3 linked regions of the Arabidopsis thaliana genome follow. The protein of the gene in region 1 interacts with the protein of each later gene in a pairwise test. Each region holds a gene or a part of one and is shown in the gene's direction. Other genes may lie near its edges. The genes, in order: GL3, CPC and TRY.

Region 1 (3,759 bases):
TGAGATACATATAAGATGATGATAATATGCCTTATGAGGTGGAAAGTGGAACCACTTATGTTTCATTGTTAAACCAATATAGTATATCCAAATTAAAATATTATTTTCTCAGCTATATCCATATGTCATTTAGTATATGGGAAAACATACAGTTTTTTAACATAGAAGAGAGGATACAAACCAGTTAATAGCAAAATAGTGTCATGCTTCCATTGTCCTATACATAGCATTGAATCTCTCACATCTTCTCGTACATGCCCAAAAGTTTATGATTTTAATGGCCGTGTTTACAACATTATTTCTTCTGTGCCGTCTATGTCAAGAAAATAACAACATAGTATATACCCTATATATATATATATATTACTTCTTTTTTTAATTAGTTCCGTTTATATATATGAAAGAGGTCTTACAGAGGAGCCTTAATGCTCAGATACAATCAAATAAGATAAACATATAGAGACGAGTGTTCTAGTAAGATCAGTAAAGATGTGGTCTAATTTTGTTGGAAATTAGCAAACCATAGCGAAAGATAGGAGTCAGGAGATGGAGTTGTTGAAGTGAAGATGACGTCTTGATCCAAACCAGCAAGGCTTCATCGGATTAGGAGTTGAATTCCCCATTTAACTTGAGTTAGTATTCTGATTGAAAATAACAATATATATTAGTGTTACATAAGTTTGGATCAGACAAATTTTATATTGTTGTATCGAAAGCTATACCAAATTTCCTAAATATTACCCTCAAACATCAACACATCCGATTAATTTACCGAAACCTCCGATCAACAGCACTACGAATGTTTAGACTTTGATCTTGTAGGGGACCGAACGTGTATATATATTTTAATGTTTTCTGACGTCAACGTCTCTCTCTTTTCTAGATGTCAGAAAAGGAAAATAATAAGTACTAATGGTCCATTTAGCAGGGTTTTATTTAAAGTTATATTTTAAATAGTTGCATAAATACTTCGAAAATATAGGTTTAATAGTATAAGAGAATTTTGAAATATAATAATATTGTAAGTATATGACTATAGGGAGAATCAACGTCGAAAATGTCCATAACATTTTTATTCATTTTAAAGATGTGATTGCAAAAATTAAGATTGTGTCTGTACGTATTGGGGGAACTCCTCGAGGCCAAACATTAATTTCGTGTCTTTCTTTGTGTTTCCCAATTTTAGTAAAGACTGTTCTTATATTATCTCTTTCCTCCTCAATTTATCTATTATTGTGTTTGTGACTATAATTTAGATTCATAGCGATTAGCTTCGTTTTGACACCAAGTAAAAAGCTGATGATTTTACTATTATTATATATGTTAATCATATACTCTGATTTGAGACATTATACTTTTGGTCGTTTTGTGTACTTTTGGAAAATTCATAAAACGATGTTACTCACCGACAATAATATATTTCGATCACTCAAATAGTAATAAGACTGATTAGATTATACAAAATGAAAGAAATCATACGATGCTGGTTAGATTGGACTTGGATCACATGCTAATGGTATTCTAGTCAACATTGCTTCAAAGATCTAATAGTCAAGGAAACAAATTTTTTTTTTTTGGTATCAGTGGGGATATTAAGTGAGGGAAACATTTTTTTTCAAGAATAGATGGGTGAAAAGTTCAGCCTTGACGTGATAACATTTTAACTTTAAAATCAGTGTTGGAAGAGACACACAATGATTCAATATTCCCAAAAAAAAGAGATCTCTAGAACCACAAAGAGACTGAATAGAGAATTTATTGAAGACAAGACCACAACAATGGACATTGTAGTTCATTGTCTTAAAAAAAGGTTGTTCTTCCCAAATGAGGAACTAATCAATCAACTTCAAGATAAAAAGAGGAACAATCAATCAACATCAGCGTTTTGCTTTTTTCCTCTACTTTTGTATCCTTTTTTTTTCTCATAAATCATTAAAAAATTATAAGTACTTTTTATTTTCGTCATAAATGTCTTGTGTTTTGTTCTGTACACAACAAAGATGATATCGTCATATTCAAAGAAAAAAAGGATTCGTAGACAGTTCTTCTAGTCTTTCGAGTTCAAGCTCAAACAACAACAAAATTAATATTCAAAACAACATTAATAAAAAAAAAGTATGGAGTGACCAAAGAAAAAAAAAACTCTCAAACATTTCTCTGTTTGTTCCGGCGAAAACGGCAACTGTTTCATCAAATGACAAACACAAAAACCTTAACATCTAGTTTGTATCCTCTCTGATACTTCAAAAAAAATGTAAAGAGTTACAAGTTTCCCTTTTTCTTTCTTTTTTAGGCTATAAATTTAACATAGTATCTTATTTCTTTCTAAATCAGGACAAAAAGTTTGATTTTTTTCTTTTCTTTTCTTTTTCCCTGTGTGTGGTTTCATGGGATATAGGGATGAAGAAACAATGGCTACCGGACAAAACAGAACAACTGTGCCAGAGAATCTGAAGAAACACCTCGCAGTTTCAGTTCGAAACATTCAATGGAGTTATGGTATCTTTTGGTCTGTCTCTGCTTCTCAGTCTGGGTAAGTTTCTTAAATCATATTCATTGAACACTAGATATTGGAGATTTTGAAAGATATTGATGAAGTAAATTTCTTGATTTTAATTGGAAAATTAGATAAAACTTATGTGTTCACTTCAAATCAAAACTAGTGTTTAGTTCTACAACTCAAGACAAGGTTCTCTAGGTTTTTCTTGATTCCATTGATTTTTTCTTATAAACTCATATAAGGTTTCTTGATCTTCTTTAAAAGTTCAATTTTTTTTCTCTTCTTCTTGAAGTTCTTGATTAGTTCAAGAAAATGTTTTGTTTGTTTTCTTTATTCGATTTGATATTTGTTTTTGTTTTTCTATATATAAAAAGAGTTTTAGAATGGGGAGATGGATACTATAATGGAGATATCAAAACGAGGAAGACGATTCAAGCTTCGGAGATCAAAGCTGATCAGCTTGGTCTACGGAGGAGCGAGCAGCTTAGCGAGCTTTACGAGTCTCTCTCCGTCGCTGAATCTTCTTCTTCAGGCGTTGCTGCCGGATCTCAAGTCACCAGACGAGCTTCCGCCGCCGCACTTTCACCGGAAGATCTCGCCGACACCGAGTGGTACTATTTGGTTTGTATGTCTTTCGTCTTCAACATTGGTGAAGGGTAATTCCGTCTTTTCCTCTATCAGCATTGACATTTATTATGTGTCATGATCGTGTTGATCTTTGCCAGTTTTAAACAACGTGCCAAAATATACTTTTAATACTAGTAGGTCCAAGGATTTCGACTTTTATGGTTCAGTTTAGGTTTGTTAGATTTCAGGGTTCTGCAGGAAAAAAGTATGAGCTAGAACCAATTTTTTAGTTTCAGTTTGGTTTCAAAATTTAATGTCCGGATTTGGTCGGTTTCAGATTACAAAAGAAAAAGTTAAAACATAATTAATTTTAAATAATAATGTGTATATATATGCATTAGTATGTTTAACTCTATTCTACATCTAATAAATTTTATTAATTCGGTTTGGTTGCAGTATATTTGTGTTCGATTCGAGTTTAGTTCGGTTTATTTATCATCACAAAAGTTTGTTTCTGTCCGGATTAATTAAAAAATTCGTTTCATTTTGGTCTTTATGAACACGGCTAATTAACTTTCAATAATTATGAATATGTTAGGAAGAAAAAATGTGGAAAAATTAAGCTTAGAATGCATTGCTGCTTTCTAAATGAACCTGTCTTTTTGCAGAATGCCTGGACGGACGTTTGCAAA
Region 2 (3,759 bases), on another chromosome or scaffold:
ACTATGGACACTGAAGCCGGCTCACGAGCTAAGTACTCGACCACGTGAACCCATTTTAAAAACTGTGACTTCTTTAATAGAAACGCATGAATTCAATGAAACAGACATTTTCATTCACCAATTATATTTCGTTAGTTCCATTAATCTGTGGACCCACCAATGAGAAAAAAACGCTAATTGAAAACAATTAAAAACTCCATAAAATAAGCTCGAAGTTAATATCCATTGACTACACGACACGTGTGATAATTACCGGAGAAATTAACGTCGGGGAAACTGGCCGCCGCGTGGCATACAGATGCTGACAAATTCAGACGGGAACGGTGGTAGACACGTGGCAATAAAAGACAGGAGGAGCGTGGAGGGTGCTTGACCATTTATCGCCTTGGAATTTGAGACTTTTAAGGGGCAAAAACGGTAGCTCACAAGTCAACACTTTTGATAATCTTTTTGCCGTTTCGTATAATTCAATTCAAAAGTTAATGTTGATAACCACGTAAACACTTCTTAAACCGACCAAATAATATAATTAAAGATTTGATTGATTGATAAGCTTTTGTGTTTTCTTTTTCTGTTGTTGTGCGTGTCAACGTGTTGTACTCTCCGTAAACATTCATGGGCCTTTTCAAGTAACTGCTCAAGCTGGCCGATAGCAATTTAAAATAATCAATAAGCCCATATTGTTTTTGAATAGGCCCATGGCTTATTAGGGCAACATATAACGCTTTAACCACTTCGTCATGAAAAAACCCATACAACAACATGCAGCAACTAACATTCAACATAACTGTTTTCATTAGCATATAATGTACGAAAACATGCAACTTATCTCTATAAACTGTTAGATCATGTACTTAAAAATGCATAGATTAAACGTTTTCAATTTATCATAACATGTACCACACAAAAAAAGTAGCTAGAGCAGCTATTCATCTTATAGAATATATAGACGTATCTCACCTTCGCACTGCAGATCTTATACAAATCTTTTTAAGAAAATGAAAAAAGGGGGGCTAATCTCATATATTCTTCGAAGTCTTTTTGGGTTATTAAATAGCTTTAACCACCACATGTCATAAATAATTGTTGTTAGATACTTGTCTGATTCATGCCTTTTTTTTTGCGAGTCAAAGCTTTGTATACAACAAATGTGCTTCTTTGCTCTTTCGTCTCACTCCATTTAGTCAAAAATTCCATTTGTGATATAAAAATGAATAGATGAAACCTTGAAATATGTAATGAAACCGGTCTCGAGATGTGGTTAAAGCATATTTGTAATCAAAAATATATAATTAATGAAGAAAAACAAGTACGTTTTCGGACCACATCGGACCAGTAGAGGCACACAACCATACGGGTGTTGTGCCCACTTTTGACGACATTACCATCAGACCAAAGGAATATATGAAAGATACATAGAGAGAGATATGTTCTCGAACTAACTATTTCTTTTTTTACCCTCTTCTGATTATAATATTATTTTCCCGTTTTGCTGTTCTCTTCTACCAAACTTTCCTCTTATATCAAACTTTCAAATCGAATTCCTGAACTTTATATCACAGTCCTTATTTGTTTTCTCTTGCAACAAATGAATTTTTTTGTTATTGTTGAATAGTTATATTTTTAAATAAGTAGCTTTGACAGAATGTATATTTAATGTAGAATAGCAAATAAACTAGAAACAAGAACACATATAAGGGACATACTGGTCATTTCGAAAGTCAAAGCCAGAGGAGAAGCTACTATTTCTCCAACTGTCTGTAAACGAGGAATTTTTACAACCGCAAGTCAAAGGATTTAAAATAAGTAGTTATGGTTGTATCTGTCGTTCTTCTTTCTCTATGAACTAAAGGCCGTTGGAAGCAACACACACACACACACAGTGAAACACTACAGTTTACAGATTCGTTTTCTTTAGCTCAATCGAATTATATTATTTCTTAATCAGTCAATATTTAAATAATGGAGGATGATGATAAGTATTAAATAAATAATTATTCTAGGATTAATCAGACATGCGCAGTTATATAATAATCAGTTTGATTTTCTTTTCCTTTTCGAGCCCCTCTCTCTCTCACTCTTTTCTTTTCCGAGAACCCAACAAAAAAAAAGCTACTATTAATCCTTCCCCTCGTGAGGAAATCATTTCTTCTTGTTTCTCGAGATTTATTCTCTTTCTCTCTCTCTTTCTCTGTGTGTTTCGTGTCTTCAGATTAGTTCGATGTTTCGTTCAGACAAGGCGGAAAAAATGGATAAACGACGACGGAGACAGAGCAAAGCCAAGGCTTCTTGTTCCGAAGGTCTGATTTCTCTTTGTTTCTCTCTATATCTTTTTGATCGGTTTGAGTCTGATTTTGTATGTTTGTTTCGCAGAGGTGAGTAGTATCGAATGGGAAGCTGTGAAGATGTCAGAAGAAGAAGAAGATCTCATTTCTCGGATGTATAAACTCGTTGGCGACAGGTTAGAGACTCTTTCTCTCTCGATCCATCTTGTTGCTTTCTCTTTTTTTTGGTCTTTCATGTTTTGTCGAATCTGCTTAGATTTTGATCTCAAAGTCGGTCGTTTATTTATGCATTTTCTTGGTTTTTCTATTATATTATTGGGTCTAACTTACCGAGCTGTCAATGACTGTGTTCAGCCTGATTTTTGATCTTGTTATTATTCTCTGTTTTTTGTTTTAGTTGTTCAAATAGCAAAACCTAATCAAGATTTCGTTTTCAGTTTCTTTTTTTATATATGATTCTTTAGCAAAACATATTCTTAATTTATGTCAGAACTCACTTTGGCTAGTTTGGTTCAATTTTGATTACAGCATGTTTGTATGAAGTCAAAGTGTAAATTACGATTTTGGTTCGGTTCCATAGAATTTTAACCGAATTACAAACTTTATGCGGTTTTTATCGGAATAAAAGGTATTTGGTTAAGTGTAAGTTCCTCAACACTGACTGTTAGCCTATCCTACGTGGCGCGTAGGTGGGAGTTGATCGCCGGAAGGATCCCGGGACGGACGCCGGAGGAGATAGAGAGATATTGGCTTATGAAACACGGCGTCGTTTTTGCCAACAGACGAAGAGACTTTTTTAGGAAATGATTTTTTTTGTTTGGATTAAAAGAAAATTTTCCTCTCCTTAATTCACAAGACAAGAAAAAAAGGAAATGTACCTGTCCTTGAATTACTATTTTGGAATGTATAATTATCTATATATATAAGAAGAAAAAATTGCTTAGGAATTTCAAATTTTTACCAGCCTCCATCGACACATGATATATCCCTCTATAGAAGTATAGTATTAGTAGCTGTGATTTAATGAGATAAATCACACTTTTCTAAAGTCTGTTTTCCTAAGATCGACTGTAAATTTTAAATTTAACTATGTTCGCTATTTTATCCAAAAAAAAATTACTGTTGTTCTTTCATACAAACAAACAAAGGTGAAAGGTCTCTCTTATTTCTTCTGCATAGGGGAATGCTTAAACTGAACCCAAGATGGTTTATTTTTTCGTGATCGGAAATGAGAATCTGTAAGTGGCCTACGATATGGGTCAACGAGGTAGCTCATTTATATGGGCCATAAAGAAAGCCCATTATTAAGTTGAGACTTTTAAGATAAAATGTTTCCACGGTCAACGATTTTACAACAGTAGAGACACATGCATGCCGTTTAGATATTTGGTTTAAAACAATCATACCGTTTCACTGTATGTGTGGCCTAATGCAAGTGTATGCAACTGTTATTATTTTTTGTTTTGCTTGCTTA
Region 3 (3,759 bases), 5.1 Mb from region 1:
TGAAAAATCTTTCTAGGAGGCAACATGTCACATCTTTGTTGTTGTTGATATAATCAAATAATAGAAAAGGTAATCACATCTTTGTCCTTTTGTACCAGAATTTTAGACATTAGTTTAGCTATGCAAACCAATTTCGTTCTTTTAGCTCCAAACTAAAGACACATTTTCATTGATGCATTCTTCGATATCGAATTGATTTGTTTATCAAAAGTTTATGAAAATCATTTATATTGCTATATTGTATTTAAGCTTCGAGTAAAGAGATATTTTACCAACTAGGCTTCCTATTAAAAAAATTCCAAATCTATCACATAATACACAGTTTCTATGCAATGAGGATGATGCGATATACATCACATGACTCGCCTCACACGATGTCTTTCGCCGTAGACTACAGATTTCTTCCGTTTAATCTTTTATCCAATTATGAATTATCTGGTAGGGTACTTTATATTTTGAAAATCTCTTTCGTGAGAATATGATAGTAATTGTATACTTTCTTACAAAATTTATTGAGAAGCGTACTTTATATATGATGTTTCTCACTCGAATTAAATACGTTAGTTTAATGGGTCGATTCAGATTTATAATAGATTTAAATATTTCGAAGAAAACGCAAATCAGGGATTTTGGTTGTATCATGTGTGAGAGATTGAATTTCTCCAGAAGCACTCATTAAATCGCGTGTGTAAGGAGTTGCCATACAGCGTCGTATGTAATGTCTTAGTCACTGTTCTAGAATTAAAACATATGTCAAATGTAGAATTAAAAAACAGGGGTTAAAATGTTAAATTATTCGGAGAAGTGGAATTATTATATTAAAAACATTGTGTGATTTTGGGATAAAATCTGAATCATGTTTTTTATTGTGCCAAAAAATTTCTGTTTCAACCTCTTCGTGGAGATGAAAGAAAAGTCAATCGGGAATGAGACTTCTTGTATAACGAATGAAAATATGAACATGTTGATTAATGAATTAATTAACATACGTACTATATTAAGTGGGAATATTAGGTATAGGCCTTCGATTTTCCGTTTTGTTTGGTTTTTTCGATTTTAATAATATTTCTCTAAATTAAAATAAATTTTAGTTTGGTTTATTTAAAATATTAATAAAATAATATAAATAACTATCTAATTAATATATTAAAAAGTATTTTCTATATATATTGATATAAATATTATTCCCATGTTTTATATTGGGTGACGTTATCTTTTAAGTAAAGTTGTAAGATATCTAACTTATTCCTACATTATAATAACTATCAAAATAAAATAACTAATTGTAGTGACAATGATGACTATCAAAATATGTATGTGTTTTGGCTCAAACATAGCGTTTAATAACAAACACAATGGACAATTTTAATAAATTTGATCGATTAGATTTTGTTTCATTTTCATGCACTAGATTAAGGTTCGAATTAGATTCATTTTAGTGTATATAGTGAAACTAATTTGTTACTATATGGAAAAAAAAATAAGTTTATTTTTGGTTCAAGAATTTTTATTCGGTACGGTTTGGTGTGTATGTCCAACCCTGAAAAAAAAACTTGAAAAACTAATAACCTAATAACAACTAATTTTCTTAGAAATACAAATTGGACTTGAATACAAAAATGGAAAGAACAACAACAAATCAATAACTAAAACATCGTTGAACTTGCATCTGCCAAATAAAAATCAATAAATCCCATTATTCTAAAAAGATAGTAGGTTTAGAAAAATTGAATAAATGGAAAAAAAAAATTGTTAGGATCTACGAATGAGAACAAAGTTAGCCTTCAAAATACTTACAAATCCCAATAAAAGACTTCATCTCCATGTGTATTTGAGTGTCAACGACAAGTCTACACAAAGGGTAAGAGGTCAACAAGACCACACAACACTTCTTACTATTAGTTTTGCAAAGGCCGTTCGTTGGACATTTCCTTCTCTCTCCTCCCCTCTTCTTCTTCTTGTTCGCTCTATAAACTCTCATCTCTCACGTCTTTTTTTCCTTACATTCTCCAAACTCAAAATTTCATCACATTAATTTCTCTCTATTTTTCTTTTCTTACTTCAATAGTAATGGATAACACTGACCGTCGTCGCCGTCGTAAGCAACACAAAATCGCCCTCCATGACTCTGAAGGTACCTCTCTATTCTCTATATATTTTCTATTTCCTAAATCCAATTTTATTAAACATCTTGAAAATAAATTTAGTTCCTAGCTAGGATCATATTCTCTTTGTATATATTCGTTAAAACGAGGGATACGTTTAATTACTTCTAAATTAGTTACACCTCGTGCTGACTAAAAGACTTATCAAGATTAGTTTCTAGTTTTAACAAAAATTAATATCTTTTTAAAAAGTTTATATTTGTCTTTTTTTGTTAGTTTAATATTGTTTTGAGTTTAATTGGTTTAATATTGTTATTTGCAGAAGTGAGCAGTATCGAATGGGAGTTTATCAACATGACTGAACAAGAAGAAGATCTCATCTTTCGAATGTACAGACTTGTCGGTGATAGGTAACAATTTCTTCTTCTTCTACTTTTTCTAAGATTATCCCAGCATAAAATAAATTTTATATTTTAGACATGTCTAGCTAAAACAATTTAATATGCAGGTATATACAATTTTACATACGTTAATTTAAGCATATGTACTTTATAACATATGTACAGTGTACCATGTTGTAGGGGAAGCACATGGTGTCCACTAATTTTCTAAAAAAAGACATTTAATTAAAGCTATCACGTTCATTAAATTATATATGTACACACATATATATAGAGATAAAAATAAGAACCTAATTTACTATTCTTATCAGTACGTACTCATGTATATAAATGCTTGGCTGGCTCAAAAATGGAAATTTTTGAACTGACAAATTATATTTTATTATGAAAATATAAATGCTAATGCTTGGGATAAAAATGTTTTTTTTTTTCTTTTGAATTAGGTGGGATTTGATAGCAGGAAGAGTTCCTGGAAGACAACCAGAGGAGATAGAGAGATATTGGATAATGAGAAACAGTGAAGGCTTTGCTGATAAACGACGCCAGCTTCACTCATCTTCCCACAAACATACCAAGCCTCACCGTCCTCGCTTTTCTATCTATCCTTCCTAGTGTTTTTGTTTTTAAGCCAACGAAAAAAGAAAATAAAAAAATTATAATAGATGTATAGTAGTGGTTCTTGTTAGTTTGAAGAATTCATCATCTATTGTTTTCTTTTTGTTGTTATTTCATTTATAATTTTTATAGTATAGGTTTCATTTGGTAATCAACTTTAATCCATGCGGTTAGGTTTTTTTATTTTCTCGTCTACGACTTTTATATCCACAACTAGATTTTAATCCGCGGTATATCGCGGTATAATTTACTTTTTAAAGTTAATATATATTAAAACTTGCAAATTTTATTTTTATAAAATATTTTTATTTTACAGTTTATAATTGTTATTAAGTAACGCTATACAACGAATCCATGAGACAATTGTTAAAAAACTGAAGTTTTAACCCTTACTAAAACAGCATATTAATAATATTTTAAAAATTTATAAATATTGATTCAAATACATCCACCATATAACTCAATTCCAAAATAAAATCTGTTCTGTAATTTCTTTACCCATCCCGTGATTTATTTTTAAAGTAGTAATTTTAAAAATTTGAGAATTATTTATTACATATAAAAGTTTTACAAATTGTATCATTCTCTAATACATTTATATTTTATAGTTTAATTTTATATATAGTAACATTTTATAT

The links.
Region 2: the proteins of GL3 (region 1) and CPC interact in a two-hybrid assay, tested with the Arabidopsis thaliana proteins (4 studies listed by BioGRID, with this or other methods).
Region 3: the proteins of GL3 (region 1) and TRY interact in a two-hybrid assay, tested with the Arabidopsis thaliana proteins (3 studies listed by BioGRID).

Annotation. Positions count from the first base shown.
Region 1 is NC_003076.8:16,527,046-16,530,804, forward strand, and holds the start of GL3 (basic helix-loop-helix (bHLH) DNA-binding superfamily protein), read left to right. Parts: upstream 1-2,044; 5' UTR 2,045-2,252; coding exon of another isoform or gene 2,253-2,254; 5' UTR 2,255-2,387; coding exon 2,388-2,533; intron 2,534-2,874; coding exon 2,875-3,156; intron 3,157-3,735; coding exon 3,736-3,759. UniProt on the Arabidopsis thaliana protein: Transcription activator, when associated with MYB75/PAP1, MYB90/PAP2 or TT2. Involved in epidermal cell fate specification.
Region 2 is NC_003071.7:19,048,648-19,052,406, reverse strand, and holds CPC (Homeodomain-like superfamily protein), read left to right. Parts: upstream 1-2,037; 5' UTR 2,038-2,221; coding exon 2,222-2,300; intron 2,301-2,373; coding exon 2,374-2,461; intron 2,462-2,974; coding exon 2,975-3,092; 3' UTR 3,093-3,386; downstream 3,387-3,759. UniProt on the Arabidopsis thaliana protein: Transcription factor. Determines the fate of epidermal cell differentiation. Represses trichome development by lateral inhibition.
Region 3 is NC_003076.8:21,580,843-21,584,601, forward strand, and holds TRY (Homeodomain-like superfamily protein), read left to right. Parts: upstream 1-1,771; 5' UTR 1,772-2,070; coding exon 2,071-2,134; intron 2,135-2,427; coding exon 2,428-2,515; intron 2,516-2,949; coding exon 2,950-3,118; 3' UTR 3,119-3,401; downstream 3,402-3,759. UniProt on the Arabidopsis thaliana protein: Transcription factor. Involved in epidermal cell fate specification. Negative regulator of trichome development, including endoreplication, by lateral inhibition involving intercellular interactions.